Callithrix jacchus: one gene and its partners. The protein of the gene in region 2 purifies or fractionates together with the protein of the main gene of each other region. This does not show direct contact. Links are inferred from orthologs where the notes say so. Each region holds a gene or a part of one and is shown on either strand. Other genes may lie near its edges. The genes, in order: EXOC6, EXOC7 and EXOC6B.

Region 1 (4,178 bases), on a different chromosome or scaffold from region 2:
CTGCCAAGTGTCTCTGTAGCACTTATGGCCCCTACCCACTGTTTTCTGCTGTGCTCCCAAAGCCATCCAGGCAAGCTGTGTTTCTGGTAGCCAAGGAATGGGAAGTATAATGAGGGTGCAGGGCTTGGGGAGGGAGGGAAATGGCTCTCCTCTCCTTGAGGAAGGGCACATGGCTTTCACTTTCATTCTGTAGTACAATATTTATTAAAAGCTTACGGCAGGTCAAACATAGTGCTGGATGCAGGGGACACAAATCGTAAGCCATCACACTGCCATGTTGATGCCAGAGTCCCCTGTGGAACAGGCCTCCATGGGCCAGATGAAGAATAAACATAATTATACTAAATAGTTTATGTAATTGCGACACCAAATAACATGAACCAGAGGAAAACATTTTTTGTTTGTTTTTGAGACAGAATTTTGCTCTGTTGCCAGGCTAGAGTGCAGTGGTGCTATCTCCGCTCACTGCAACCTCCACCTCCTGGGTTCCAGGGATTCTCCTACTCCGGACGTTCCAGTGTCCAGAGTAGCTGGGATTACAGAAGTACACCACCACACCCAGCTAATTTTTGTATTTTTAGTAGAGACAGAGTTTTACCATATTGGCCAGGATGGTCTCAATCTCCCAATCTCGTGATCTAACCACCTCGGCCTCTCAAAGTGCTGGGATAACAGGCATGAGACACCACACCCAGACAACTTTTTTTTTTAACACTTTGAAAGATATAAAATATATTTTATAATGCTCATTTCCCCCAGAAAACTGAGGGAGAAATGATACTTCACTCAGCTTATTAGTTTTCTAATGTAATAGAATAATATGTTACATACACAGAAATTGCTTATACCTGATGCTGTATCATAATTCCTTCCAGATATAATGCTAGATTGAATCAAGGCAAAAGATTAAATAAGATAAGCAAAAAAACCTCAACTCTTTTCTTACAGCTAGAATTAGACTTGATTTGATACCTTCTTAAGAGTGCAACCGATTCAGTGAGGAAATTCTCATTACATTGACCGGTATAGTAATTGAGGTTTTGGGTGTAACTTCTCGGTGACAGTTTCCTTATCTGGAAAATGAGGTTGATAACAGCCTCTACTTCATAGGGTCGTTGATGATTAAATGATATAAAGCAAGTGAAAGATTCGCATAATATTTAGCAGCACATAGTACATGCTCAGTAATTCATTAATTTAACATATATTTACCAAGTGCTTAATAGGGCAGGCTGAAGATACATAGCAGTGAACCAAACAGACAAAAATCCCTACCCTCATGATGTTCATATATCAGCAAGAAGAGACAAATAATAAGGCAGTAAAAATATTATATCCCATTGCATTAAGTGAAATAGAAAAAATTAAATTGTGGTTGGGGATAGGAAGAGGAGGTTGCCATCGCAAAAAGGCTGGCAAAGGGAAGGCCATGTCTGAAGGAGAGGAGGGAGCAAGCCATGAGGCTATATCTGGTGGGGAAGAGAGTTCCAGAGAGAGGAAAGTGCCAATGCAAAAACAAAGATAACTGTGTGGTGGGTAAAGCAAACCTAGGTCCGCAATCCCTGATTCAAAATTCTGAAATTCAGAATCTCTGGAGTTCAGTCATGCATACTCCCCACCCTCTCTCACCTCCAGGCCTGTGGACAGGACCGTCCTTCTCCGTGGAACACCATTCCTTTTCGTTTTCTTTGGTTGGGAGTCCCTGCCACAGCATGTGCTGCTCACCCCTTATTCCAGATCTGTCAGCTCCGTTACACTCCAGTGCTACTGAGTGCCTTGACCTTAGGACACAGGGATTATTACTCTTCTATTTATGTTCTCATTATCATTATTATTATTATTATTATTATTATTTATTTGAGATGGAGTCCCACTCTGTGGCCCAGGCTGGAGTGCAGCGGCTCACTGCAACCTCCGCCTCCCAGGTTCAAGTGATTCTTCTGCCTTAGCCTCCGGGGTAGCTAGGATTACAGGCACCTGCCACCACTTCCGGATAATTTTTGTATTTGTTTTAGAAGAGGTGAGGTTTCACCATGTTGGCCACACTGGTCTCAAATTCCTGACCTCAAATGATCTGCCTGCCTCGGCCTCCCAAAGTGCTGGGATTACAGGTGTGAGCCACCAGTCCCAGCCTATGTTATTATTATTGCTTAATAATAAAATAAATTAAACATTTATCCCCGGCTGGATGGGAGCAACGCATTAGGGCTCCAGCAACATTCCCCTCAATTAGGATTCTCACCTCAGCTAAAAGATGAACATTTCCATAAATTTCAGGAAAATCTTGGCTCCAGTAGTGACATCTAAAGAATGGAGATTAGTCATTTTCCATTCTAAATGGGGAAGTAAACTGAATGAAGATGAGGAATCCTGAAAGGCAAGGAGGGGAAAGGAGAAAGGGAATGAATAAGATGAGGAAGGAAAAGTGGGGAGGAGAAGGAGGATGGAAGGGCATAAACCCCGATAGAAAAACACAAACAAGGTTATGAGCATCTCCTACTGCAAGCGTCTGCGAGCAGCAGAGGAGGGACCCTCTGCCGTTAACTCTTTCCCGTACTTGTTCATCTAAAAAGCTGACTTCAGAGAGAATGAGATTTTTGAATACTTATGGTTTTTCAAGGATACCAAACTCCCCTTCCAAAATAAAAAGGAGTCTAAGGAATGGATAGAACATACGTTTTAAACAAATGTTTTTAAAGTGGGAAGCGGCTTCATTGGCTTTCATCTGGAAAGTCGCGGGATATTTGCAGTGACTTCTTTTTGTTTTTTGTTTTTTTTTTAAAGTAGCAACGCAGGAAAGCGTTCGGCTGCTCGCGGCGACGGCCGGATGCTCCAAAGTCAAGATCCTCCGCAGACAGGAAATGCCTCTGCCAGCTCCAAGGTCCCCTTGCCGCAGCCCTCTGTATTGTCCAGAGAGATTTGTGTACATCCGACTGAGCAGGTTTCCCGCCTGCAACTGCGAACCCAAGAGCTGTCTCAAAAGAAGGAATCACTGGGGCTGTCTAGCTTTTCTGACTGACACTCGGGCCCACTGCGTGCATGGGACGGACGCCTTCTCTCGGGGAAGCCACGCTCCGCTCTAGGAACTGAGGGACGGAGGCTGAGGATGAGTTTGTCCCCCGGGGCCCCAGCCAGCAAGAGAGGGGTAGGGATTCCATCTGTCTTGCTGCGAGCCATGCTTGCATCCACAACGGTGTGATTCTGGTTTTCCTACAGCCACATGTGAAGGGGTAGCTGCTCTTCTTTCTGTGGACCTGGGGTCTCAGATCTTTGGGTGAGTAGGAGGAGTCTCCAAAGTGCTTCTTATTTGGGTTTATCAACAATACAAAAAAATACATGTCAAGGGAAAAAATTAGACATATACAGAGTCCAAATGGGACTTCCTAAAACCTCTATGGACTGAAAAATAAATATCAGTACAACGTGATTATTTTGACTACAAAATACTGAACTCCTAGTCTTTTTTCTTTTTTCTTTTTTTTTTTTTTTTTTTTTGAGACAGTCTTACTCTGTTGCTCAGGCTGGAGTGCAGTGGCATAATCTTGGCTCACTGCAACCTCCGCTGCCGGGTTCAAGGGATTCTCCTGCCTCAGCCTCCCAAGTAGCTGGGATTACAGGCACGTGCCACCACACCCTGCTAATTTTGTCGTTTTAGTAGAGACAGGATTTCACCATGTTGGCCAGGCTGGTCCCAAACTCCTGACCTCAGGTGATCTGCCCGCCTCAGCCTCCCAAAGTGTTGGGATTATAGGTGTGAGCCACTGCACCTGGCCTGAACTCCCAGTCATTTAGAAGCATCCTGGGTGATTGTTTGGTTTTCACATTCTGTCCCATATTGTCAGTAGTCACATAAATAACTCCAACCACGGATTTAAAGGCTCATTGATTATTAGATCTTGAAAAAAAATCAAAATCAGGAGATTTTGAGTTCATCAATTTCCACATGGCAATATATCTGGAATGGGAATTTTAGTGTCTTCTGTCCCCAGCAAAATGCATTTTCCCCAAGTCCAAATAAGTTTTCTTAAATCCCTATCCTGCCCAATCATGCCCTAAGATGAATATTCACAGTAATGAAAACCACACACACACACAAAAGCTTGTCAGAAAAGTTGAAAGAGAATAGGTACTTTCACTATCAGAGATGGTTTCCTCTTTTCCCACAAGATGTGTTATCA
Region 2 (3,647 bases):
GTTTGGTTGGGAACATAGGGTGTGGGGAAAGAGTGGAACCCAGGACTAGATGGCTCAGGGACATGGCTCCTGGATGGGGTGTTGGAGATAGGACTCTGTCCCAAAGGGGCCAGAGGCAACTTAACACTGGTTTATCTGTCCAATGACATGTCAGTCTGGTGGAAACAGGCAGGGCTAGCAGCAGGCTCAGGCAGAGGTGTCGAAAAGGCGATCGATCATGTCGCCCACCTGCTCCACACCGTACTTGATGTACTTCTCCGGGTTCTTGGTGAAGGGCACACTGCCGAACCTGAGGGGGCACTGCCGTCAGGGGACAGGGAAGCCGACCCTCCCCAGCACCACCCTCAGCCTAAGGCACTCCTGAGAGTCTCGGAAGGTGTGACCCAGAGTGATTCCCTGTCCAGCCCCGCCCCAAAGCCCAGGGTGCTGGATCTGCGGCCTAAACCTGTCACCCTTTTCCTTTTGCCCTTGAGGAAGAGGAGCTCAAAGAGCCCACTGTGGCCGTGGGCAGCACAGGCTGGGAAGGGGCTCACTTCTGCAGAAAGGCCCCATAGGTCTCCTTAACAATGGTCTTCTGGGCCTGGCGAATCCTGTCCCTCTGCTCCATGTCCGGAATAGCCCAGGCCTTCTGGATTTTGCATAGTTCTTCAAGGCCATCATTGAAGCCCTGGCCACCAAAAAGGTGAAAAAGGAAGGGACCCAGAGACAAAACTTTGGGTCTGTGTTGTCTCAAAAACAGCAGCAAGCAGTGGAAAGGAGAGGACCTCAACTCACCTTAAAACGCTCCTTGATAATCTGACGCTCCTTGTCCCGGAGCTGGGAAGCCAGGAGAGATAGTAGAGAAAGCTCAGTTCAGAGCAGGGCAGCCTGCCCGCACTCTGTTCCAAACGCCCTTGGCCTGGGCTTCTCTCCTGTGCCCTGATGGCCATACACATCCTTTGCTCTCTGATCCCAGAGGGACGCTTGTCCTCTTTTCCCAGAGATACAACAAAGTATCCAGTCTGCTAAACACCCATTCCCAGCCCAGGCCTTGAGCCCACCTTGACTCCCGGCTGGAACACAGGTAGATTCTTCTCTGCGATGTAATCGGTCACCTTTAACCAACTGCCGGACAGAAAGAGAAGCATGAGGGCAGAGGACGGCCTGCCTCGGTGGCCTGGTTTGTGTCATTTGCCAAATCTCTGGATCTACTTAGTGGTTGGTGGTAGGAAGGGATGTGGGTCACAACTAAGCAAAACAACAGATTCTCTTCCTGGGAATAGAAAATGTTTAAACAGCCCAGACGCAGTGGCTCTCACCTATAATCCCAGCAATTTGGGATGCTGAGGCAGGCAGATCACCTGAGGTCAGAGGTTCGAGACCAGACTGGCCAACATGGAGAAACCCCATCTCTACTAAAAATGCTAAATTAGCTGGGTATGGTGTTGCATGCCTGTAATCCCAGTTACCTGGGAGGCTGAGGCAGGAGAATCACTTGAACCCGGGAGGCAGAGGTTGCAGTGAGCCAAGGCTGCGCCATTGGACTCCAGCCGGGGTGACAAGAGTGAAACTCTGTCTCAAAAAAACAAAAAACAAAAACAAAAAAAACAAACAAAAGAGAAAATGTTTAAACTGGTCACTCATTGAGAAAACATAAGGAAACATTTGAGTGTTCAATAAACTGAACAAATACTGTCAACTATATTTCACATCAGTATCATGGCAAATTAAGACGGAGAAACAGATGGGAAAGAAAGGAGTGAGTGGAGGGGAGATAAACAAGAGGGAAGAGGGAGACACACTCAAAGGGAAGAAACAGAGCCAGGAAGAAAGAGGACCAGAGAAGCACAGAGACCCCCACAGAGCCAGGAAGAAAGAGGACCAGGGAAGCACAGAGACCCCCACAGAGCCAGGAAGAAAGAGGACCAGGGAAGCACAGAGACCCCCACAGAGCCAGGAAGAAAGAGGACCAGGGAAGCACAGAGACCCCCACAGAGCCAGGAAGAAAGAGGACCAGGGAAGCACAGAGACCCCCACAGAGCCAGGAAGAAAGAGGACCAGAGAAGCACAGCGATCCCCACAGAGCCAGGAAGAGGACCAGAGAAGCATAGAGATCCCCACAGAGCCAGGAAGAAAGAGGACCAGAGAAGCGCAGAGATCCCCACAGAGCCAGGAAGAAAGAGGACCAGAGAAGCGCAGAGATCCCCACAGAGCCAGGAAGAAAGAGGACCAGGGAAGCGCAGAGACCCCCACAGAACCAGGAAGAAAGAGGACCAGGGAAGCACAGAGATCCCCACAGAGCCAGGAAGAAAGAGGACCAGAGAAGCACAGAGATCCCCACAGAGCCAGGAAGAAAGAGGACCAGAGAAGCACAGAGATCCCCACAGAGCCAGGAAGAAAGAGGACCAGGGAAGCACAGAGATCCCCACAGAGCCAGAAGGAGGACCAGAGAAGCACAGAGATCCCCACAGAGCCAGGAAGAAAGAGGACCAGAGAAGCACAGAGATCCCCACAGAGCCAGGAAGAAAGAGGACCAGAGAAGCACAGAGATCCCCACAGAGCCAGGAAGAAAGAGGACCAGAGAAGCGCAGAGATCCCCACAGAGCCAGGAAGAAAGAGGACCAGAGAAGCACAGAGATCCCCACAGAGCCAGGAAGAAAGAGGACCAGCGAAGCGCAGAGACCCCCACAGAGCCAGGAAGAAAGAGGACCACGGAAGCACAGAGATCCCCACAGAGCCAGGAAGAAAGAGGACCAGAGAAGTGCAGAGATCCCCACAGAACCAGGAAGAAAGAGGACCAGAGAAGCGCAGAGACCCCCACAGAGCCAGGAAGAAAGAGGACCACAGAAGCGCAGAGATCCCCACAGAGCCAGGAAGAGAACCAGAGAAGCACAGAGATCCCCACAGAGCCAGGAAGAAAGAGGACCAGAGAAGTGCAGAGATCTCCACAGAACCAGGAAGAAAGAGGACCAGAGAAGCGCAGAGACCCCCACAGAGCCAGGAAGAAAGAGGACCACAGAAGCGCAGAGATCCCCACAGAGCCAGGAAGAGGACCAGAGAAGCATAGAGATCCCCACAGAGCCAGGAAGTGGACCAGAGAAGCACAGAGATCCCCACAGAGCCAGGAAGAAAGAGGACCAGGGAAGCACAGAGACCCCCACAGAGCCAGGAAGAAAGAGGACCAGAGAAGCGCAGAGACCCCCACAGAGCCAGGAAGAAAGAGGACCAGCAAAGCGCAGAGACCCCCACAGAGCCAGGAAGAAAGAGGACCAGAGAAGCACAGAGATCCCCACAGAGCCAGGAAGAAAGAGGACCAGAGAAGCGCAGAGATCCCCACAGAGCCAGGAAGAAAGAGGACCAGGGAAGCGCAGAGATCCCCACAGAGCCAGGAAGAAAGAGGACCAGGGAAGCGCAGAGATCCCCACAGAGCCAGGAAGAAAGAGGACCAGGGAAGCGCAGAGATCCCCACAGAGCCAGGAAGAAAGAGGACCAGGGAAGCGCAGAGACCCCCACAGAGCCAGGAAGAAAGAGGACCAGGGAAGCACAGAGATCCCCACAGAGCCAGGAAGAAAGAGGACCAGGGAAGCACAGAGATCCCCACAGAGCCAGGAAGAGGACCAGAGAAGCGCAGAGATCCCCACAGAGCCAGGAAGAAAGAGGACCAGGGA
Region 3 (3,647 bases), on a different chromosome or scaffold from region 2:
AATTTCCCAGACTATAAGGTAAACATCATCATCATCATCATCATCATCATCATCATCATAGTACCTACCTTTTTAGGGTTGTAGTGAGGATGAAATAAGAGAGTATGTATAAAGTATACAAAATAATGTCTGACTCATAGAATAATCAACAGACATTAGCTGCTGTTTTCTTATTGCAAAGGGCATCTATAAAAGTAGCTCAGTGGAAGAAAATGTGACAATTTGAAGGAGCTACTTCTATATCTTTGAAGGACATATATAGCTTCAAGTGAGTGACTGCAAAGACACACATATGCGGATGTTAAAGCAGTAAAACACTGAATAGCAGATAGATAATCAGCTCTAAATAACAACTTCTCTTGGGCTTCTTACATACCGAGTGGGTACGGAGTGCTGCGATGGTTTTTGAAAGTGCCATTTCCCACAGTTCATCAATGTAGGCTCTATTAACTAAGCCCTGCGTTGTATGTAAAATGTGATCTTCAACCACAAAAAAGCTAAGATTGAGGAAAAAAGAAAGCACAGCTGTCAGAATTTACAGTTATATTACTATCTCTGGGGTTTTAAAAGCATTAAGAGATAACAAATGCAAAGTTAGTAGTCATTGTTTTCTTGAAATGACTACTAACTACTAACTAAATGAAGAAAGTTATTTGGTTATCTGAATATCATAAATGAAATCAGACTACTTGGACTAAAAATTATGTCTGTGATTATGATATCTTCTTAACTACTCCTAGAGATATTAAGAGTTACATTTGTATTACATTTCTATTAAATGTTAACAATGATATCCAGTAGTTTAAAAGAGGAAAATGTGTAGAGGTAACAGAGGCAAATTTTGTTATATAAGAAAACACCAAGCCATCAATATATTTCCATAAAAGCTAATATATGTTATATACATCATATATGTTATGTATTATTTATATATATATTTTTTAAGAATCCAATGCACAAAATATCAAAATAATTCCCTCATGCAAACTCTCTCATCAAAGTGTTGAAAAGGCATCATATAAAGGTTTCAAAAATGCAAAGTTATTTTTCAACGATCTTGTTGTTGCTTCTTATTATTATGCATTTAAAATGTACCTTTCATTGTCTTGCCTAAATGTCCATATTAATGAAAAAAACTTCTTTATTAGAAAATTTTTATGATAAATTTTAATAACTACTAATTATATTGAAACAAATCTGAAATAAAACAAACCTGATGATGAATCCAAGTTATTTCCTTTTCTGTTTACTGCAAAGTCATTATTTTGGAATTTGACCAAGCTGCCTATATTGGGGTGTTTATTTGGGAAATGCAATTCCATACCACTATATACACTCTAGATGAGGGTGGCAAACTGTATTAGCCCGTGGGATAAACCTAGCCCACTGCCTGTTTTTATAAAGATTGTTTTATTGGAACATAGCCATGCTCATCATTTATGTATTGTCTATAGCTACTTTTACACTACAACAACAGAGCTAAACAGTTGTGACAGAGACCATACAGCCTACTAAGCCTAAAATATTTTACTATCTGGCCCTTTTGGAAAAAGTTTGCCAACTTTTGATGATTATTTGGTTCCATCTACCAAAAAGAAAGAAACAAAACATAAAGTATAATAAGATTACAATTCAATGTTTTTCTCACTTTATCCACAAAGTGCCCTACAACAATATAATATTGAAACCAGCAGAATGTTCCTTTTAAATCATTAGAAAATCAAAAACAAACCTTAAGAATTTAAAAAAAGAAAACAAATTTTAAAAAAAGAAAAAAAGAATTTCCCAAGGAAAACCTGATTTATTTTTCCAACTCTCACAACTTTCTATGTATTGAAAGTGTATAAATTTAAGTAAATAAATATATATATATATATACCTACCCTACAATTTGATTAAAATACTTCCTGTAGCCGTCTAACGTTTCATGCTGCAACAAAGCAAAGAAGAAAGTTATTGTTTCTGTTCTGTTACTTTAAAAAAAAGTTAAAATCAGTCACTTAATCTCTTAAGGCTCAGTTCCCTAGATGATATCTGATAAGGTAAAAATACTAATGTTATCTGCCAATGAAGCGGAAATGGGACAGCATATATCCAGTACTTAGAACACTGAGTGACACATAGCAATCAATCGATAATGTTTTCATACTACAAGTCGCATCCACCAAAAGTTATCTGAGAATGACAGTATACACACAAACACACAAGCATCAAAAGATACCAAGGAAAAGTAAAAATGTGAGAAAAGTGAAGATAGTAATCCTACCATGTTAGACGGAGGTTGAAGTACCAAACGAGCCTGTTTTCGCCTCTGTTTTCGGTAGTAATTCTCAAATGTTTCCCGGGCACCCTGTAAAATAAAGAAAACGGAAATGGTTTTGACACAATTGAACCAATTACTTTTATATTTCAAGGGAAAAGAGAAGGTCCCAGGTCTGGAATTTGGTAGTACCACATTTCTCAAAATCTCTATTTTAACAGTGATGATAATGATAGAAAATAAAAATAACTATTGCCATTTATTGAACCTTACTTACAAACCTGTAAGGGTGGGTATAAAATATCCTTACAAGGAAACTGCAAGAACTTAACCACCAGTACACCAAAGCTGGTATCTGAATCAACTATCTCAAACTCATAAGAATGAAGGGAAACCAACCTTTCCATAGGATGATAACAGGTAAGAAAACATTCCTTAAAAAACTCACAAAACATTCCAGAAGGAAAATGTCCAGAATAAAAACCAGCTTTCAAACGAATCATGAACAAAGAGGCAATGGGAAGCAGAAGAAAAGCAGGAACTGAGAACAGCATATTAGTATCCACCTTAGGGGATAATCTAGCACAGGATTAAACCCAAAAAAAACAAAAGCATGAAGATTCTTGGTACACAGTTCCTACTTTTCATTTATGGTATCTGGGCTTAAAATGAGAAGTTCTCTACAGAATCACATCTGACTCATGAGCTGTGTACTGGGTTGAAAAGTGGTCTCCCAAAATTCATATCCTTCATGGAACTTCAGAGTATAGTCATGTTTGGAAATAGGGCCACTGTAGATGTAATTAGTTAAATTAAGATGTGATCCTATTAGTGTAAGGGACCTTAATGCAGTATGTCTGGTGTCCTGAAAAGCCAAAATGAAAAGACAGAGATACACAGGGAGAACATCATGTGATGACAGAGGCAGAGAGTGATACAGCTGCAAGCCAGGGAACATCAGAGATTGCTGATCACTAGCAGGAGCTGAAGATTCTACCTAGTCTCAGGGAGAACATGGCCCTTCTGATGCCTTGATTTTGGAATTATAGCCTCCAAAACTGGGACAGAATACATTTCTGTTGTTTTAAGCCACTCAATTTATGGTGCTTTGTTACAGCAGCTCTAGGAAACTAATACAAACTCAATGTATTTAGATTATCATGCCCCATTTATTACTGAATTCTATTCTTAATCCAAAGCTTTTCTAAATAAACAAGAGTAAAAATGGAAAGACAGTATACCACAGTGGTAAAGAGCATTGATTTTGGAACCAGAGGTTATTACATATGAATCGTGATTCTGTCTCTTACTAGCTATACAACTGCTATAAATAGCTGTATAACTTCCTTCTACTAATTTAAGTTCCACTATTTAACTTTCACTAATA

Evidence for each region.
Region 1: the proteins of EXOC7 (region 2) and EXOC6 purify together in Homo sapiens (affinity purification with mass spectrometry; 4 studies listed by BioGRID and IntAct, counting the BioPlex papers as one, with this or other methods). This does not show direct contact. The link is inferred for Callithrix jacchus from reciprocal best matches to the Homo sapiens genes EXOC7 and EXOC6.
Region 3: the proteins of EXOC7 (region 2) and EXOC6B purify together in Homo sapiens (affinity purification with mass spectrometry; 3 studies listed by BioGRID and IntAct, with this or other methods). This does not show direct contact. The link is inferred for Callithrix jacchus from reciprocal best matches to the Homo sapiens genes EXOC7 and EXOC6B.

Annotation. Positions count from the first base shown.
Region 1 is NC_133513.1:85,429,919-85,434,096, reverse strand, and holds the start of EXOC6 (exocyst complex component 6), read right to left. Parts: upstream 2,841-4,178; 5' UTR 2,677-2,840; intron 2,371-2,676; 5' UTR 2,243-2,370; intron 1,782-2,242; 5' UTR 1,715-1,781; coding exon 1,630-1,714; intron 1-1,629. UniProt on the Homo sapiens protein: Component of the exocyst complex involved in the docking of exocytic vesicles with fusion sites on the plasma membrane.
Region 2 is NC_133506.1:131,987,888-131,991,534, forward strand, and holds part of EXOC7 (exocyst complex component 7), read right to left. Parts: intron 1,105-3,647; coding exon 1,041-1,104; intron 817-1,040; coding exon 775-816; intron 668-774; coding exon 534-667; intron 290-533; coding exon 187-289; 3' UTR 1-186. UniProt on the Homo sapiens protein: Component of the exocyst complex involved in the docking of exocytic vesicles with fusion sites on the plasma membrane.
Region 3 is NC_133515.1:40,663,001-40,666,647, forward strand, and holds part of EXOC6B (exocyst complex component 6B), read right to left. Parts: intron 2,351-3,647; coding exon 2,267-2,350; intron 1,931-2,266; coding exon 1,884-1,930; intron 498-1,883; coding exon 377-497; intron 1-376. UniProt on the Homo sapiens protein: Component of the exocyst complex involved in the docking of exocytic vesicles with fusion sites on the plasma membrane.